Saccharomyces cerevisiae S288C: one gene and its partners. The gene in region 1 interacts genetically with each later gene. Each region holds a gene or a part of one and is shown in the gene's direction. Other genes may lie near its edges.

Region 1 (5,137 bases):
TGTGTTAGGCGGTAAGGATACCCATAACGCATATTCCAACGATGTCTATTTTTTAAACTTATTATCGCTAAAATGGTATAAGCTTCCCCGTATGAAGGAGGGCATACCTCAAGAACGCTCTGGACATTCTTTAACCTTAATGAAGAATGAGAAGCTTCTTATCATGGGTGGCGACAAAACTGACTATGCCAGCCCAAATATTCACGATCTACAAACTTCAGAAACTGACCAAGGCGAAGGAACTTTACTGTATACCTTAGATTTATCATCTTTGAATGAGCTATGCCCAGGAATAATGTGTGAATCACTACATGCAGGAGAAAGTTTTTCTAATAGTCTTTCCGGGGGCTTTACACCCTCTAAGTCTACCGAAAGTGAAAATCAAGAGATAATAAACATTCTTACACCAAGATTGCCTGATAGCAAAGTTTTGAGTTATAATGATATTGATGAAGGGGCTGGAAGTTACTCCAGCGCTTTGGATGATAAGGCATTTGAACGAAAATCAGATAGGGAGGAAAAGAAACCCCAATCTTCCAAAGTTGATTCAAGCATCAATAAGGAAAGTCCGGGAACTGGTATCAAAGTATCTAAAAAAAATTTCCCTGTTCTACGAGGACTAACAGTGGATTCAGAAGAGTATGGCTCTTCTTCATATAAGGACACATCATGTCAAAAAGGAATTCCCAAAAATCTTTTTGATGATTTAAACCTGAACCTACAAACATTACGTCTCGAAGCTCAACAAAAGGAACTTGAAACTGCTAGACATATTTCACAATTAGAAAAGGAAGTCCAGAGACTCATGGTAATAAAAGAAGCTTCAAAAGATTCAAATTTTCAAACAGCACGGCTTAAAAATCTAGAAATTCAGAAAACCTTTTTAGAATCTAGAATTAATGATTTAAAAAATTTATTGATGGTCAAATTATCTCAGGCAAGTAAACTCTGTGACCAAATTACGATTCAAAATAATGGACTTAAAACATGCTCCGAACATGTCACTATTAAAAGGGATATCATCGATCTTGAGAATAAATGTGATGTTTTGAAGCGCCAGAACGAAATACTTGTAAATAATATGCAAAAAATAACCCCCGAACTTCATACCTATTTGAACGAATCGTCCTGCTATCTGGGTAAATTATTAAAAAGCTATCCTACCAGTGCACGGCCACCTTCAAGTGAGAAAGATAATCAAATATATGAGAAAGATTCGCTGAACAAAATAGAAAAAGTAATAAATGAAATGCACGAAACCGTGCGTGCTAAAGAGAAATTGCACCTTGAAACTCAGAAGCTTAATGATGAAAGAGATTCTTTGCGGGCTAATTTACTCGACAATAACAACAAGTTGGATGCGCTAAGAAAACTCTCTGATGGAAGCTCGAAGTCTATGGACCTAACAAAGAAGGCTATTCACCTATCACAATCCGAGCTCGAAAAATATCGTAAAAACAACGACGATTTACAGAAGGAGATTGATAGAATTAAAACTGAACAAGCTGAACAGGATGACAAGCAGGAACAGCGTGGCGCCATCACTCATGGAAATTTTGATGCGTTCCACAGAATGAAAATCAACAATCTGAAAGCGGAACTGTATATGTCGAAAGAAAATAGAGATTCCCTCAAGGACGAACTGCTAGCTTTAAAAAAAAAACTATATACTCTCGAACAAAAAAAATAGTCATTGGAAGACGTTGTTACGCACTGGGAAGTCAATATGTACAAAGTATATAAAAATATATTTAAACACCTATAAGGACATTGTAAACATTAAGTATTAATAGAAGGAGAATATAATTGCCAACTAAGCCTTTTGAGGTTAATATTCAATGGTGCAAAATTAGTAGCCGCGGTTATTATTATTCGCCGGGTAAAGAGCCCGCTTTTCTAGGGGGATTTTAGGTGAGCATGCCTCTAGAAAGCCAGAAGGACCCTTAACGAAGCGAAACTGTTCAGAAGAATGAATAAAAAGACACATTGAAAAAAAGAATATTGTCGCACTGTACATAAGGGAGAAGCTGTAATCCCTGGCAAACTGCTAATATCTAATAAAAATAATAGAAGATGTCATCTGCAAAGACATTTACTAAGCATATCTCGTTTGATGATCTGGCACCTTCCTTAATTGATGACCAAGCTACCATTATTAAAAATGACAGTCACCATGTTGGCTTGAATAATCATTTTTTACATATACCTCCACAATTTAATCCTGTTTACAAAAATACTTTGACCGGTAGCCATGGCTCTAATGACCTTGCCACTGACGAAAGCTTGGACTCACCCGAAGACGAAGAAGCTTCTTCGCCACTACAACTAGGAACTCCAACGTCTACAACATCTGGAGTTCCTCACTTCTATACTCAGGTATTTTCTCCTGCAGCACATGATCCCTCCAAAAGCTATTTGAGATCGCCCAGCGTTGAAAGAAGTAGAAGTGAGTCTCCAATGTTCAGGTCAAGAAGAAGGACTTCAGTGAGGTTGCCTCCCCCTCCAAAAGTATCCGTGCTAAAAAAATCTCGAAAAGCTGCTGATGAACAGGGCCCTATTGATGATATTGATATTGGTGATTTGGATTTTGAGCTGGAAAGAAAAATGACCAAAATGACCGAAAGAAACACTCAAAAAAATTCTGGATCAAGGAAAGGCTATACGCAAGCTGCATTTGCCAATCTTAATGAAGTTGAAGATAGAATTGAGACCAAGTCAATGGTAGATTTATCCGAAAGCGAAAATATGGAGAGCTCAAAGAAAAGGTCCAAGTCGTTTGCCGGGATGACAGACGAAGAATTAGCCAAATTAGAGGAATTTTATATAAGTAAAGGAAGATCGAACAAGACTAAAATAGATCAATTTGATTTTGGTGAGCAAGTTCCAGTCTATTTGAACACAACAGAGTCAAAAACGGATTCAAGCAACGTGACGGACCCTTTAGCAGCAATTTATCCATCAAGGCCTACAATTGTTCACAATGCAATTTCAATGACAATTGATCATCCAGACTATGAAAATTATATTTCCAATACAAAAGAAAAGCTCAATTGCAAAGACAAAGATGACGATGTAGATTTAAGAGTTGTTTCGTGTTATATATCAGGTAGGAGATATACTTGGTCATCTGTGGACTGGTATGTTGAAAATTTGACAAGAAATGGTGATCATTTAGTCATAATTACTACAATTCCTGAGTTTGAAGCAAAGATTGATACTCTAGCATATAAGGAGAAAAGAAGGCACCGCTTAGAAAGGATGACTAGCAATACTAGTGAAAGCATGACTACCGCGTCACATAGCCTTATAGGCCCGGATCTCTCTAGTCCTTTATCAACGGGAATAAGAATAGAAGCTATTCATAATGAGGCTAAGCAAACTTGTAGCGATATTTTAAATTACTACGCGAGAAGATTGGCAACTAAAATAGTTAGGATTAGTATTGAGATGGTAAAAGAAAATTCAACAAGATCAGCCATAATATCTGCGACCTCTCTGTATAGGCCAAGTTTGCAAGTAATCAGCACCGTTAGTGCCAACATTCAAATCAAGTTTAGAAATGGAAAAGTGAAACTACCATTTTTTTTAATGAAACACTTTGCAATGCCAGCATTTGTTGTCCCATTCGAATTCATCAAGCCTGAGCTTTTAATAAAACCTAGAGTGGATAAAGATGAACAGGACAACAGCGATGATTTGAAAACGGAAGTGAGAAAAAAGGAACGATTGCAATGGCTAAGTGCATTAATCAGGAGAACTTTGGAAAACCCTTTCACAAAACATAAAGTGGTTGATTCGGATGATGAAGAAAGCGATAGTGATGAGTCAGTAACCTCTGTAAATGAGTACTTCCCAATCTCACCTGAAAAAAAGGAAGAAATGGAATTCTTCGATAAGATGGGATATGTTAGACCAAAACCGTCGAGACAAGTACTATTGGATGATAACACTCTTATGAAGTACGACAGTTCTGGCCGAAAGCTAACTCCTATAGAATCGAGAAATTCGAGGCGCAGCTCAAAGCGGAGTTCAAGAATACAATTCAACAATAACGGCATTTATAAAGTAAAGTCCATGGTTGATGACATTTACAACCACGAAACTGCCTCTACGCCTCATATCAAGACAGCACTAAAATGGGACAATGAGGATCCGAAAATGAAGTTCACTTCACATCCAATGAGAAAAACAAAATCCGCAGGGCTATCACCCAGAACATCCTCCACTTCATCTTCTTCAGGACAGAGAAAAGCGCATCACCACCACCATCACCACAACCACGTTTCAAGGACGAAAACTACCGAAAGCACCAAATCAGGCAACAGCAAAAAGGACAGTTCCTCATCCTCAACAAACGACCATCAATTTAAAAGGTCTGAAAAGAAGAAAAAAAGTAAATTTGGCTCGATCTTCAAAAAAGTTTTCGGATGAACCGGATTAATACAAGTAAAATCAGCAAAGATATAGAAGACAAAATAAGCGTGAAAACAATCATAAACCACTCACAACGGGGGTTTTCAGCTGTTACTCCTCCATACATACATTTTGATAAAGATATAATGTTATATTTCTTTTCGTAATTTTGTTTTACTTCGGTTTGCTCTATAGATTTCATCAGCCGCACCGAAAAGGGAGATCAATAAGGTACCCTTTAAAAGGGATAAGAAGCCTACATCACCCCAATAAATGGAGTAATGGCCAGCATTGGATGAAGAGAAGAATTACGGGATACTGGGATAACACTGTTAAAAATGCTTCGCGACGTGAGGGTCTTCTTCATATAAATTGAACTGCCAAATCTCTTTCACATTATCCAGGATAGTTTGGAATGTGTGTTACTGAAGGATCAGAATCAATAAATACAATCAATACAAATATTTAGCGCATAAAATTCAAACAAAGTTTACTGAAATGAAGTTAGATTCAGGAATATACTCAGAGGCACAAAGAGTTGTGAGAACTCCAAAGTTTAGATATATTATGTTAGGGCTGGTGGGCGCTGCTGTGGTACCGACCGCATACATGAGGAGAGGCTATACGGTTCCTGCACATAGCTTAGACAACATCAACGGCGTAGACACAACTAAGGCGTCTGTTATGGGTACAGAACAGAGAGCAGCTATGACGAAGGGTAAGA
Region 2 (3,974 bases), on another chromosome or scaffold:
ATCAGGAAAAAGAATTCCCGTTGACGTCGATACTATTGTTGAAACTCGCTATTCCGCTGTTTCAAAGGACATTCAGTTGTTTACATTGTTCAAAAAGGATTTAGAGGGTCCTGAAGGTAGATTTTTCCATAAAAATGGATATGGTTCCGACAAAGAGTCAGATATATGGCCCCCATGGATTCCTCTTGAAATGTGCTTTGACGGGTCTTTATTAGATAAGCATGTTTTTCTAAAACGGAGATCAATGTTTTTGACCTACGTCGCTCCCAATCCCCTATTTTTTAGTGCAAATGATACGTCTGCATTCTCTTATGATTCGAGATTTCGTATTGCATTTCCAGGATTGGTTCTGACCTCGGACTGTCAACAATACTGCGCTGTATATGCAATCGCAGAAGATTTACTTTCCTTTGGATCATCATTGGATGAAAAAGTTGAGAAACTTTCCAGGATATTATTTACTGATGAGGTCAGAAATAACCTGGAAAATCTTGATGTCTCTGTTGTCACAGCATTACAAGAAAGAATAAAGGAACTCTATTATACGCGAGCATACCTCAAACTTCACGAGCCAAGATTGTTTATGAAATCAGGACAAGAGCTAACCTTCGATATTCAAACTAGTACGTTGAAGTTGACGTTACTTATGACGGCAATCAAGAAAACTTACGACCGGATGGGGAGTGGTAATAGAGTAATACAGAAAAGATTGAGGTGGCAAGTTGGAACAGATGAATTGATATGGGAATTGTACGATGAGAGTAAAACTCCTTTCGTGACTATCGGATTGGGGCCCTCTACATTTATTCGTTCAGAAACTTCCGATGGCACTAATAGTAATAAAGTATCCATTTCTTCCTTACAATGTTTCAACCAGCAAGAAAATCCCGTTTACACTGAATTGCTGGCCCCCTTTTATGAAAATTCATCCTATAATAAGAACGCGCCAATGGTAGAAATTTTTTGGATCCTGGGGCCATCAGTTGGAGGTATTTCAGATCTGCAAGATTTGATTGTTTCTCTACAGCCATTGATTTTCAAGATGGATCACAAAACATCGGAAAAACTAATGAATTATCTATTTCCAAAGATAGAACAAACTTCCATAGAACCCAATTCTCCAGAACTTGTACCACGTTCTTCCACTAGTTCCTTCTTTTCATCGTCTCCAGTTTTACGGCACAGTCTTTCTAACGGTTCTTTATCTGTGTACGATGCGAAAGACGTTGACTCTTGGGACTTGCGTAGTATCCAGAGCAAAGAAGGTATCAAAAAGCATAAGGGTGATCATAGAAAATTGTCAGCATCACTTTTTGTGCAACCTGATTATAACATCAATGAAATGGTCAAAAGATCAGGGACATTTTTCAATGTAAAATCTATTATAATCCGAAAAACTCTAATGTCCGTGTGTTATAAGGGTTCACACAGCCTTTTGACCGATGTTAATAACCTGATTGTTAGAGTCCCTGTTTTAAAGTACCATAACAAACTGTGGTCGAGGGAAGAATTTTTTACTGCTTTGAAAAGAGACGTCGTAAGAATAGTTTTACAACATTTGGGAAATATTATTGGTAACAAATTTTTGCCTCATAAAAAAGAGAATAAGAAAAAAACTTCTATGGAAATACATCGATTACTAAGTCCAGATTCTCAAAATCGTGATAATTCACATATCCTTGAAGTCGAAGGGCATAATTCATTTTATAGCTCCACGCACTCTTCAGATATCAGATCAATAAACTCAGATGAAACGTATAATGAAAATGATGGAAATGGAGTAAAGCCATTTTACCCTGTTACGAGTGAGTTTTCAAAAAATAAATGAGGAAACACACACATGTGTCTAGCGTAAATATTCTTCAGTTATATAGTAATTGTATTATATACTAAAATGAAAATCAGTAAGATTTTTTTTTTACAGGCCTTCTTGGCGTTAGTTTTTCCGGTTTTTCACTTACTAAGATGAGATGATGGGGCGCACGGCCAAAGTATTCCCCATTCATCAATTTAGCATGCTAGAATAAAAAGATTAAGAGCAATATCTACGACCGACAAAGTGATCTATCAAACTGCTGACAAAAAATGTCGTTGGAAGCCATCGTCTTTGATAGATCGGAGCCAGAAAATGTTTCGGTAAAGGTACTTGATCAATTACTTTTACCATATACTACTAAATACGTTCCAATTCACACAATTGATGATGGGTACTCAGTCATCAAAAGTATGCAGGTGAGAGGTGCCCCGGCAATTGCAATTGTGGGTTCGTTATCTGTTTTGACTGAGGTACAATTAATAAAACACAACCCAACTTCTGATGTTGCTACGCTGTATTCTTTAGTTAACTGGGAATCTACAAAAACAGTGCTAAATAAGAGGCTAGATTTCCTTTTGAGTAGTAGACCCACAGCCGTTAATTTATCAAATTCTCTTGTAGAGATAAAGAACATACTGAAATCCTCAAGTGACCTAAAGGCTTTTGACGGTAGTTTATATAATTACGTCTGTGAATTGATAGATGAGGATTTGGCGAATAACATGAAAATGGGTGATAATGGAGCTAAGTATTTGATTGACGTGTTACAAAAGGACGGTTTCAAGGACGAATTTGCCGTTCTGACGATTTGTAATACTGGATCCTTAGCAACCTCTGGATATGGCACGGCTTTAGGTGTTATCCGTTCTTTGTGGAAGGATTCACTTGCTAAAACCGACAAGGCAGACTCGGGATTGGACAATGAAAAATGCCCGAGGATGGGCCATGTCTTCCCACTGGAAACTAGACCTTATAATCAAGGGTCAAGGCTAACAGCATACGAGCTAGTTTATGATAAGATTCCATCAACTTTAATTACTGATAGTTCCATCGCGTATAGAATTAGAACTAGTCCAATTCCAATCAAAGCAGCATTTGTTGGAGCTGATAGAATTGTTCGTAATGGGGATACAGCAAATAAAATTGGTACTTTACAACTTGCTGTAATTTGTAAGCAGTTCGGAATTAAGTTTTTTGTAGTAGCTCCCAAAACAACTATCGATAATGTAACCGAAACTGGCGATGACATTATTGTGGAAGAACGTAACCCTGAGGAATTCAAGGTTGTTACTGGTACAGTAATTAATCCTGAAAATGGTTCCTTGATATTGAATGAGTCAGGAGAGCCAATCACTGGAAAGGTCGGTATTGCCCCTCTTGAAATCAATGTCTGGAATCCAGCCTTCGACATTACTCCACATGAGCTTATTGACGGAATTATCACAGAAGAAGGTGTATTTACCAAAAATTCCAGTGGTGAATTTCAACTGGAAAGCCTTTTCTAGATATCATTCTAATTAGACTCTCGAAATAATTACTTTTGTACTGTAAAGGATAAAATTTCATATTGAGATGTAAGAATTATTTTTTTTTTTCATTCAATAAAAGGAACACATTAATGTATATTGTCAGAACCTTGTAAGTCCAAAACACTATAACCAACTGATACAATATGTATTGTCTTTGTTTCTGCATATTTGTAAAACGTGCAAAAAAGTAAAGAACTCCTCATAGGGGGCTCGAACCCCTGACATTTCGGTATCCTTGCTTAAGCAAATGCGCTTAAAAGCCGAACGCTCTACCAACTGAGCTAACAAGGATGAGTTCTTCGGAGCGTGTTGTATCTCAAAATGAGATATGTCAGTATGACAATACGTCATCCTGAACGTTCATAAAACACATATGAAACAACCTTATAACAAAACGAACAACATGAGACAAAACCCGTCCTTCCCTAGCTGAACTACCCAAAAGTATAAATGCCTGAACAATTAGTTTAGATCCGAGATTCCGCGTTTCCACCACTTAGTATGATTCATATTTTATATAGTATATAAGATAAGTAACATTCCGTGAATTAATCTGATAAACTGTTTTAACAACTGGTTACTTCCCTAAGACTGTTTATATTAGGATTGTCAAGACACTCCGGTATTAC
Region 3 (5,225 bases), on another chromosome or scaffold:
ACGACGTTCTTCAAGGCACCGGCAATGGATATACCAGCAACATCATCGATGACATTGACGTGGAAGTAAGGTCTGTGGAACAGCAATTTCAAAATCTTATGATCTACATCCTTGCCATCACCTTGATAATCCTTTGGTAGTTGGTAAGCCACGGTGGTTTCGGACCAATGCTCCTTGGCCACTTCCGGTGCCAAGTTTGCACCAGATAGTGCGCCACATTGGATTCCTAACTCATCAGTAACATAGGAGGATAGCAATTGCACACCCTTGGAGCCCAACTCGAACCCTTTTAGACACGAGATGGCCCTTACATGAGGGGCCACGTGGCCTTGCAATTGTTTGACTATGTTTGGTAAAAATTGATGAGGGATGTTGAAAACAAGGATGTCAGCACCCTTGATGGAGTGTAAAAGATCAGGATCGGCCACTAGATTATGGGGCAGGTCAATATTGGGTAGATATTTAACGTTCTGGTGTCTTGTATTTATGATATCCGTCAGATTTTCGTCGCCGATCTTTTCATCAAAAACCCACATTCTCACCTCTGGCTCGAAGATATGGGAATGCAATTCTGTGTTTTCCGCAATGACTTTGGCGATGGTGGTCCCCCAGTTACCAGAACCAATCACTGTAACCTTGAAGGGCGCACGTTTCAAATGTACAATTGACACGGCAGAGTCCGATCTTCTGATAGGATGGTCCTCATGACAGTGTTTGTGCTGTTTGATATTAGTATGAGCAGTCATCTTTGAGTGCAGTTGTGTTTGTAATAATGATCTTCTTAGGAAAGTAGATCTTGAAGGCAAAATTTTATATGCACGACGAGTATATAACACCGGATGCGTTCGCTTAAGGAATGTGTATCTTGTTAATCTTCTGACAGCAAGCATTGATAAGGAAGGGGAGCGAAGGAAAAGGAAAGGGAAAGAGAATTGAATCTACCAAAATACATAAACTTAAAAATTAATATATAAAAAAAAAATCTAAAGGAGTAGAAAGAAGAACCCAAGGATAAATCAAGGAAAAAGCTTAGTGGAAGGAAAAAAAACTAGAAAAAAAGTAACAAGAAAAAAAGGCAAGAAGAAAAAAAAGTAAAACCAAAAAAAAAAAAAAAAAATACTAGAATGACAGGGTAGAGAAGAGCTGCTGAACAATAGATTAATCGGAATAACAATGGCAATAGGTCCGTAAGCTAAACACTCTTCCCCTCAGCAACCCATCGGCACCTCGCCGCAAAAGCGTAATATAACAATGGCAGAGCCATCGTCGTCTTATTGTTTCGAGCATACTCAAACCTTCTTCATCATGTGAAGGAAAACAAACTCGGTAATGATGATGACTGAATCTTAGAAGATACACGCTTGCATGATGGCTATGGCTAGAGGCTAAGGCGATATGATGGTGATGGTGACGGTGATGGTAATTCCTTGCTCCAGTTTTTATTTTTCGCCCTCCCGAATTGCTGTCATCAACGGGTGGGGTGGGTGATGGCTCAGGATTAGCTCATCGCGCACGGTTACCTGGGGGCGGTGCCTGGGTTGAGGAAGGCGCGGGTGCTCGGATGTTCCGATAAAATAACCGGAGTTTGTAACGTACAGAGTGAGATATACCCTAGGGCATACCGTTCATTAAAGCAGGGTATTATCATAGAAACGAAGTCAGGGTTAGGGCTAGTATTTGTTTTCTTTCTTCATTCTTTTGGTTTCTTTAAATTCTAAATTAGCAAATGGGAAAAAAGGGACGACCTTGGTGATTGCACATAGGCTTTCCCCATTCGTGCTTGTTTGCTTATTACATAATAAAAAAAGAGTTGATATCGTCACAGTTACTTGCTGCTGCGTCTGTTATTTGCACGAAACTCTCCCCACTATAATAGATATGTCGTTTTTGCCACTAAGGTCTAGGTCACGATCAGGCGCTCCTCATTGGGTATACATCATCTTATATCACATCTTTACGATACCGAAGATATATTCACTGCCGTTGTTATCCGGATCACACGTACTCAATTCTAGGGATGTTGCCGATTCCGGCCATAGCGTAGGTGATGAGGCAAGCGTTACCACGTACTATATTATCTCTATCATCCTAGTGCTGCTGGGTGGTGTATTTGCAGGATTGACGCTGGGGTTGATGGGTCAAGATGAAGTCTACCTGAAGGTAATCAGCACTTCAGGCTCGAATTCTGAAAAGAAACTGGCCAAGCGGGTGCTTGACCTAATATCTAGGGGGAAGCATTGGGTTCTAGTCACACTGCTGCTTTCTAATGTTATAACCAACGAAACATTGCCTATTGTTTTGGACAGGTGTCTTGGGGGTGGTTGGCAGGCTGTAGTGTCGTCAACTATTCTAATTGTGATCTTCGGTGAAATTATTCCGCAGAGTGTCTGTGTTAAATACGGGCTGCAAGTTGGGGCATTCTTCTGCCCCTTTGTTCTTGTACTGATGTATCTGATGTACCCAGTCGCATATCCGATCGCGACTCTCCTGGACTATATGCTGGGTGAAGATCATGGTACGATGTACAAAAAATCCGGCTTAAAGACTTTGGTCACCTTGCATAGGACCATGGGGGTGGAACGGTTGACTAAAGACGAAGTTACAATCATCTCTGCTGTTTTGGATCTAAAGGCAAAGAGGGTTGAGGAAATCATGACTCCGATTGAAAACGTGTTCACAATGAGTGCCGATACCATCCTAGACGATAAAACTGTCGAAAAAATCTTCAACTCAGGGTTTTCTAGAATCCCGATTTTTTTGCCCAATGAACCAAACAACTTCATCGGCATGTTACTTGTCAGGGTGCTTATCTCCTACGATCCTGATGACTGCCTCCCAATCTCCCACTTCCCCCTAGCCACGTTGCCAGAAACTTCCCCGAACACATCTTGTTTGAATATTCTGAATTACTTCCAGGAGGGGAAAGCTCACATGTGCGTCGTTAGTAAAGAGCCGGGCTCCTCGCATGGCGCTATTGGTGTTTTAACTTTGGAGGATGTCATTGAAGAATTGATCGGTGAAGAAATCGTGGACGAGTCTGATGTCTTTGTGGACATGCATCAGCATATTATGAGACAACAACCGGGGCCCTTGAGCAAAAGGCACATTACTTCCTATTTGCATCATTTGTACACTAGCTCTCACAAGGAGCACAAAGCTGCTGACCAAGCTGATGAATCGTCTCCACTCTTGTCTCCATCCAATTCTAATCACCCATCCGAGCACCCACAGCAAGATTTGAATAATAAGTCTTGGAAGCAGAAGTCAAATGATGGTTACGACAGGTCCAACGCTGTATTGTCTCCAACTCCACAAGTGACGGAACATGGCACCATCATACCTTCAAATCTAGCGTCCAACCCGTTGAACGTAAATAAATCTTTTGTTACCATTAAAAAGCCTGCCAATGTTCCGAAAATCATTACTACACACACTCCTCATTCTAGCAAAGAGCCTTCTCCAGCACCACACTCAAATGATAAATCACTCTCCGCCGAAGAACAACAACTATTAAGTGATCATGCAGAGCTATCTCGCCAAGCTGTTCTCCATACTCAACGGTCGGGTCAACCAACTCAAGTTACTACCTCGACTAAAACCACGAGAAATAGCCCTGATAGTATATCAATTCCAAATTCTGGCGCGAATCACGGCAACGAAAATCAAAACGTTACAATCTCAACCTCTTACCAAAATACGAAGAATGGTATTGTGGAATCTGTCATCACAGTCAAAGGTGTTCCAAAAACCATCATTGGCCCCGCAAAAGATTGGGACGAATCCAAAAGTGAATATGGAAACGAGAATATCAATCAAGAGAATTCTAATCGAAGTGACGATAGAGAAAGTTCAAGTTCAAATGCAAGTTTATTTTCCAGTATTAAGAATAAATTTAAGAACGAAAACGCTAACAACAATGATCGTTCTAATTTCACCGACTCTTTGTCAAGAACTTCCAATTATGATGCCAACGGCTCCTCGTCGACCATAAAAAGATGAAGAGATTATGCCAAAAGAATTGCCCATGCATCATAATAACCATCATCACCGTTCTTATTAGTCCCAGACGCATGAAATCACAGGGGAGAGCAGCTTAAAATTTTTTCTACAGACATACAAGAAGAAATTGCAGTTTTTTTTTTTTTGTTTCTCTAACCTATAAATAAAATGTTTCAATACACATACTAAACAAAGAAAAAAAAATGTAGAGAATTTTATACGCAAAATATATAGACACTTTCCCCTATTTTTATCAATAAAAAAATGAACACATCAATGCCACTACCATCCATGCTCGAACAACATAGAAATGGATTCACCGTTATGGATTCTTCTAATTGCTTCACCGATTATGCAGGAGACATCAATAACATCCACTCTGTCCTTACCTAGGTACTGTAGTGTTCTATCTTGAGGAACCGTGTTAGAAATGATCAACTTATCTATACTACTTTGGCCGATTCTTTCTAGCGCATCACCGGAAAAAACACCGTGCGTTATTAAGGCATAAACTTTGGTAGATCCTTGATCCTTCAACAATTTCGCAGCTCTTGTAATAGTGTATGAAGTATCCACCAAGTCGTCGACTATAATACACACCTTGTTTCTAACATCGCCAACAAGCATGGTAGTTTGAACGAACTTGGACGAATTAGAAGATTGCGACGAGGTGGAAGATGTTGAAGTTGTTTTCTTCATTTCAAGGGCCGCAACCCCAGTGGCACCTGAAGAAGTAGTATTTTGGGAGGAAACCAAAGTAGTAACTAATGGCCTTGGAGATACTGGTAACGAACCACCAGAGGTTAACGTCGCATCTGGAGGGCCCTTCAATAACTGAGATCTTCTTTCTTTATGAATTAGGGCGAAGGACAATTCCAAGGCGTCTGCAATAGCCGTAGCTCTCTTTGCACCACCAGCATCTGGAGAAACGATCACAGCATCCTGATAATCTGGAATGCGATGCTGGATGTAGTTTTGTGCAATGGGTTTACAGTAGAGATTATCCACTGGAATGTCAAAAAACCCAGGGAACTGTGGATCGTGCAAATCCATTGTGATCACATGGTCAGCACCTGCAGCACTCAACAAATGAGCAATCAAAGTACCGGCTTGTACTACCCATAGCTTATAGCCTGCATTTTGAGCGTTGAACAATTCACCAGCGTCCGTGCTATTGCTTGTATTTTGTAACTTACCACCGGGAATCATAGGAATTCTTGAAAAAG
Region 4 (4,059 bases), on another chromosome or scaffold:
TATAATGATGAGGTTTATAAATATATAGTGGAGCAAAGATTAATCACTAAATCAAGAAGCAGTACCAGTATTTTTTCTATATCAAGTAGTGATAATGGAAATAGCCCAAATTTGGCTTCCGTCGACACATAGAACGTTTGAGAGACATTATCACCATCAAGCATCGAGCCGCCCAAACCTAACCGTATAAGTTTTTTCACGTTTTTGATTTTTCCTTGCACACTTCGATATTACTCTCACGATAAAAGGGCCGAAGAGAATATTTTTCTTGAACATCCAGAATTTTAATTCGGAGAAATTTCACAAGCCGCCGATTTAAGGGTCCTGTGTTCTTAATAATCAGCCTCTCTCAAAGCAGGTAAGAGGCAGTCTTTCTTTTAACAATAGGAGACATTCGAACTAAAACATCAGCCCCAAAAATGCGCTTGAAGGTCATTAGGATTTGGATTTCTTCCTCATTTTTAAAGGCGCCCCTTTTCGTTTTAGTCATGCTGGGCTAGACTAGCACGTAGTGTATGGAATCAAACTGATGCCGTCCCCTGAATTATATTTACAATTCAGAAACGTCTTTGAACATTTATAATTAAATTATAAAACAAAAGGAATTTGTAAAAAAGACTTTCAAAAGATGATCCAATAAACTAGATTAAAAACCCAATATAAGAAGAAGAATGTGTGGCATTTTTGGCTATTGCAATTTTTTAATTGAGAAGACAAGAGGAGAAATCATCGACACTTTAATCGAAGGGTTACAGGCATTGGAGTACAAGGAATATGACTCCAGTGGAATTTCGATCCAAGGTGATGAGCTGGAGTCTCTCAATATTTATAAGCAAACCGGTAAAATAAGCAGTTTGAAGGAAGAAATCGACCTTTACAATCTTAATAAGAACCTGCCCTTTATTTCGCATTGTGGCATTGCCCATACTAGGCGGGCAACACATGGAGGGCTAAGACGTGCAAATTGTCATCCACATAACTCAGATCCATCTAATGAATTTGTTGTGGTACACAACGGGGTTATTACCAACTTCGCTAATTTGAAAGCCTTATTGATGGCAAAGGGCTATGTGTTCAAAAGTGACACTGATACCGAATGTATTCCTAAACTGTACAAACACATTTATGATACAAGCATTGAACTCGGGTACAACCTCGATTTCCATGTATTAACAAATTTAGTACTTAAAGAATTGGAAGGCTCTTATGGTCTGCTATGCACTTCTTCTCATTTTCCCGATGAAGTGGTTGCCGCAAGAAAGGGTTCCCCGTTAGTTATTGGTGTTAAAGGTAAAACTGACATGGACGTAAACTTTGTCGAGGTGGAATATTTGGATCAAGAAGAAGACTACTTGAAGCTTAATACTCAAACCAAGAGTTCTGGTAATGTCTTGGCTGCCGCACCTGTAAAATATAACACTTGTTTAAGGAAGTCACCCCCCTTCGTTCACAATACCTGAGAAACTCTACAACTTCTACATTCAATCATGGCTCATCCACAGAAACGCCAGCCGAGAACGGCTTGCCGCGACCCATGGAATTCTATTTGTCATCCGATTGTGCATCACTAGCGCGGTATGTGAGTAAAGTAGTATATTTGGAGGATAATGATATTGCCCATATCTATGATGGGGAGCTTCATATCCATTGTTCTAAAATTGGTTCCGAGGACTTTTCATTTAGAACAGTTCAAAAATTAGAATTGGAGTTGTCCAAAATCAAAAAAGGCCCTTACGATAATTTTATGCAAAAGGAAATATACGAGCAGTGTGAAACAACAAAAAATGTCATGAGAGGAAGAGTTGACGCCTTTACAAACAGAGTAGTTTTGGGAGGACTAGAAAATTGGTTGACAGAATTGAGAAGAGCAAAACGAATAATAATGATTGCATCCAAGGCCTCCTTCCATTCATGCCTAGCTGCCCGTCCCATCTTTGAGGAGTTAATGGAAGTTCCAGTAAACGTTGAATTGGCCTTGGATTTTGTTGACCGCAATTGTTGCATTTTCAGGAACGATGTTTGCATATTTGTTTCTCGAAGTGGGGAGACAACTGATACAATTAATGCTTTGAACTACTGTATCAAAAAAGAGGCAGTCACAATCGGGGTAGTTAATTGCAGCGGTTCCTCTATCTCAAGATTTACACATTGCGGTGTTCATACAAACACAGGCCCCGAGAAAGGTATTGCAACAACCAAGTCTTATACTTCTCAATACATCGCTTTAGTCATGATTGCCCTATGGATGTCGGAAGATTTGGTGTCTAAAATAGAAAGGAGGAAAGAAATAATTCAAGCCTTAACTATAGTCCCAAGCCAAATAAAAGAAGTTTTGGAGCTTGAACCATTGATTATTGAATTGTGTGACAAGAAACTAAAACAGCATGATACATTTTTGCTTTTAGGAAGAGGTTACCAATTTGCCTCTGCTTTGGAAGGCGCCTCGAAGATGAAAGAAATTTCTTACGTGCATTCTGAAAGTATTCTTACCAACGAGCTAGGACACAGAGTCCTAGCTGTGGCATCTGATAATCCGCCAATTATCGCCTTTGCGACAAAGGATGCTTTTTCGCCCAAAATCGCGTCTTGCATTGACCAAATAATAGAAAGGAAGGGCAATCCGATTATCATTTGTAACAAGGGGCATAAGATATGGGAGCAAGACAAACAAAAAGGAAACGTTGTTACACTCGAGGTACCCCAAACCGTAGATTGTCTCCAAGGGATACTTAACGTTATTCCTTTACAATTAATTTCTTACTGGTTAGCGATCAAGAAAGACATCGGAGTTGATTTGCCAAGGGACTCGGCGATGTCGGCCCCGGATATATAAAAAAGTGTTCTTTAATTCCTTCTAATTTCATTAAAACAAGTACTTATATTTTGGGCAGTATGTAGAATAGATGTTCACACTCTATAGCCAAATAACTTAATTATTGGTCAAGGTAATCTCTTGCAATTGGTGTCACTGCCACATCTTTTAACGTCAACAGTAAATCCGCAAAATCCCGTCGCGTCGCCGCTAAGCAGGCCCAATTTTAGCTCACTGCGGCAGCGGGCTGGCCGTGTGGCGCGAGGGTCAACATGCAAAAAAGGACGATAGATAACCTTAAAGGAAGTATTCATTTCTTCGCTAAATTTTCAGTGCTCCCTTACTTTACCGACAAATTGGATAAAAACATATAAAACACAACAGCAACACGTAGCCATACCAACCAATTCCACAAATCACCAGCCGTTCGTTCCTAAAAATGTTTAGAAGAAGAACAACTGCACCAGAAATGGAACAGGCGGACCCGACAGCAGTGGCAGCTGCAGCAAGTATCGGTAAATTATTAATGAAGAAGGGTAATCAATCTGATAACGAACAAAGGCCGACCTATCGATCCGCTTCGATGACAAACTTAAGAAAACCTTCTGCCCCCAAAAGAATGTCTTCTATTTCTAGTATATCATCGGAATCTAGAAGGAGCGATGGTAAAGGTCGTCCCGGGAAAATAAACAGCCTTACCCAACGGTCATCAATGGGGAAGGGAGATTCATTAAATTCTCCTTTAACGAAGGAACCGCAGCACAAAACTAGGTCTCACAATAGAACTTCGAGTCTCCCTAACCAGAGAGGTCAGCAAAGCAGAAACAGTTCTGGTTTACAACGTCAAAAGTCCAAAACACACCAAAGAATAAGCTATGATGAGGCTCAACGTACGTTCAAGGATTTTGGCGGACCACAGGCCAGAGGAATTTTAACGGGACAACACCGTACTGAAAATCCTAGCGGGTCTATTCCTTTGAGGACTACGCGAAAGTATATTCCTGGGCCCAACGGGCTGGTTGCAATTGAGGTCCCCGTTGAAAAACCAAGCAATGCCAATACTTCTAAATTGCTAAGGCGTTCCAACTCTGCCCACAGTGCCTTGAATGCAAGAAATGGTTCACTTTTAAGAAAAAAAGTATCGCAGGAATCTTTACATTCTCAACCAAAGAAGACTTCGTCTTTAGGGAATACATCAAGTACACAAGCAAAAAAAGGCCAAAAGGCGGTTCAGGAGAGAAATCTTG

What was found.
Region 2: mutations in YGR237C (region 1) and MRI1 together harm fitness more than expected from each alone (negative genetic interaction), as found in Saccharomyces cerevisiae (one large-scale study listed by BioGRID).
Region 3: mutations in YGR237C (region 1) and MAM3 together harm fitness more than expected from each alone (negative genetic interaction), as found in Saccharomyces cerevisiae (one large-scale study listed by BioGRID).
Region 4: mutations in YGR237C (region 1) and YMR085W together harm fitness more than expected from each alone (negative genetic interaction), as found in Saccharomyces cerevisiae (one large-scale study listed by BioGRID).

The regions. Positions count from the first base shown.
Region 1 is NC_001139.9:962,592-967,728, reverse strand, and holds YGR237C (uncharacterized protein), read left to right. Parts: upstream 1-2,073; coding exon 2,074-4,431; downstream 4,432-5,137. Other genes in the region: KEL2 (Kel2p), read left to right, coding at 1-1,690; SPG1 (Spg1p), read left to right, coding at 4,912-5,137.
Region 2 is NC_001148.4:765,667-769,640, forward strand, and holds MRI1 (S-methyl-5-thioribose-1-phosphate isomerase MRI1), read left to right. Parts: upstream 1-2,085; coding exon 2,086-3,321; downstream 3,322-3,974. Other genes in the region: HOB2 (Hob2p), read left to right, coding at 1-1,828. UniProt on the Saccharomyces cerevisiae protein: Catalyzes the interconversion of methylthioribose-1-phosphate (MTR-1-P) into methylthioribulose-1-phosphate (MTRu-1-P).
Region 3 is NC_001147.6:212,791-218,015, reverse strand, and holds MAM3 (Mam3p), read left to right. Parts: upstream 1-1,878; coding exon 1,879-3,999; downstream 4,000-5,225. Other genes in the region: glycerol-3-phosphate dehydrogenase (NAD(+)) GPD2, read right to left, coding at 1-890; ribose phosphate diphosphokinase subunit PRS5, read right to left, coding at 4,282-5,225. UniProt on the Saccharomyces cerevisiae protein: Involved in metal homeostasis and more specially in manganese sensitivity.
Region 4 is NC_001145.3:435,957-440,015, forward strand, and holds YMR085W (uncharacterized protein), read left to right. Parts: upstream 1-1,534; coding exon 1,535-2,833; downstream 2,834-4,059. Other genes in the region: YMR084W (putative glutamine--fructose-6-phosphate transaminase), read left to right, coding at 672-1,460; SEG1 (Seg1p), read left to right, coding at 3,252-4,059.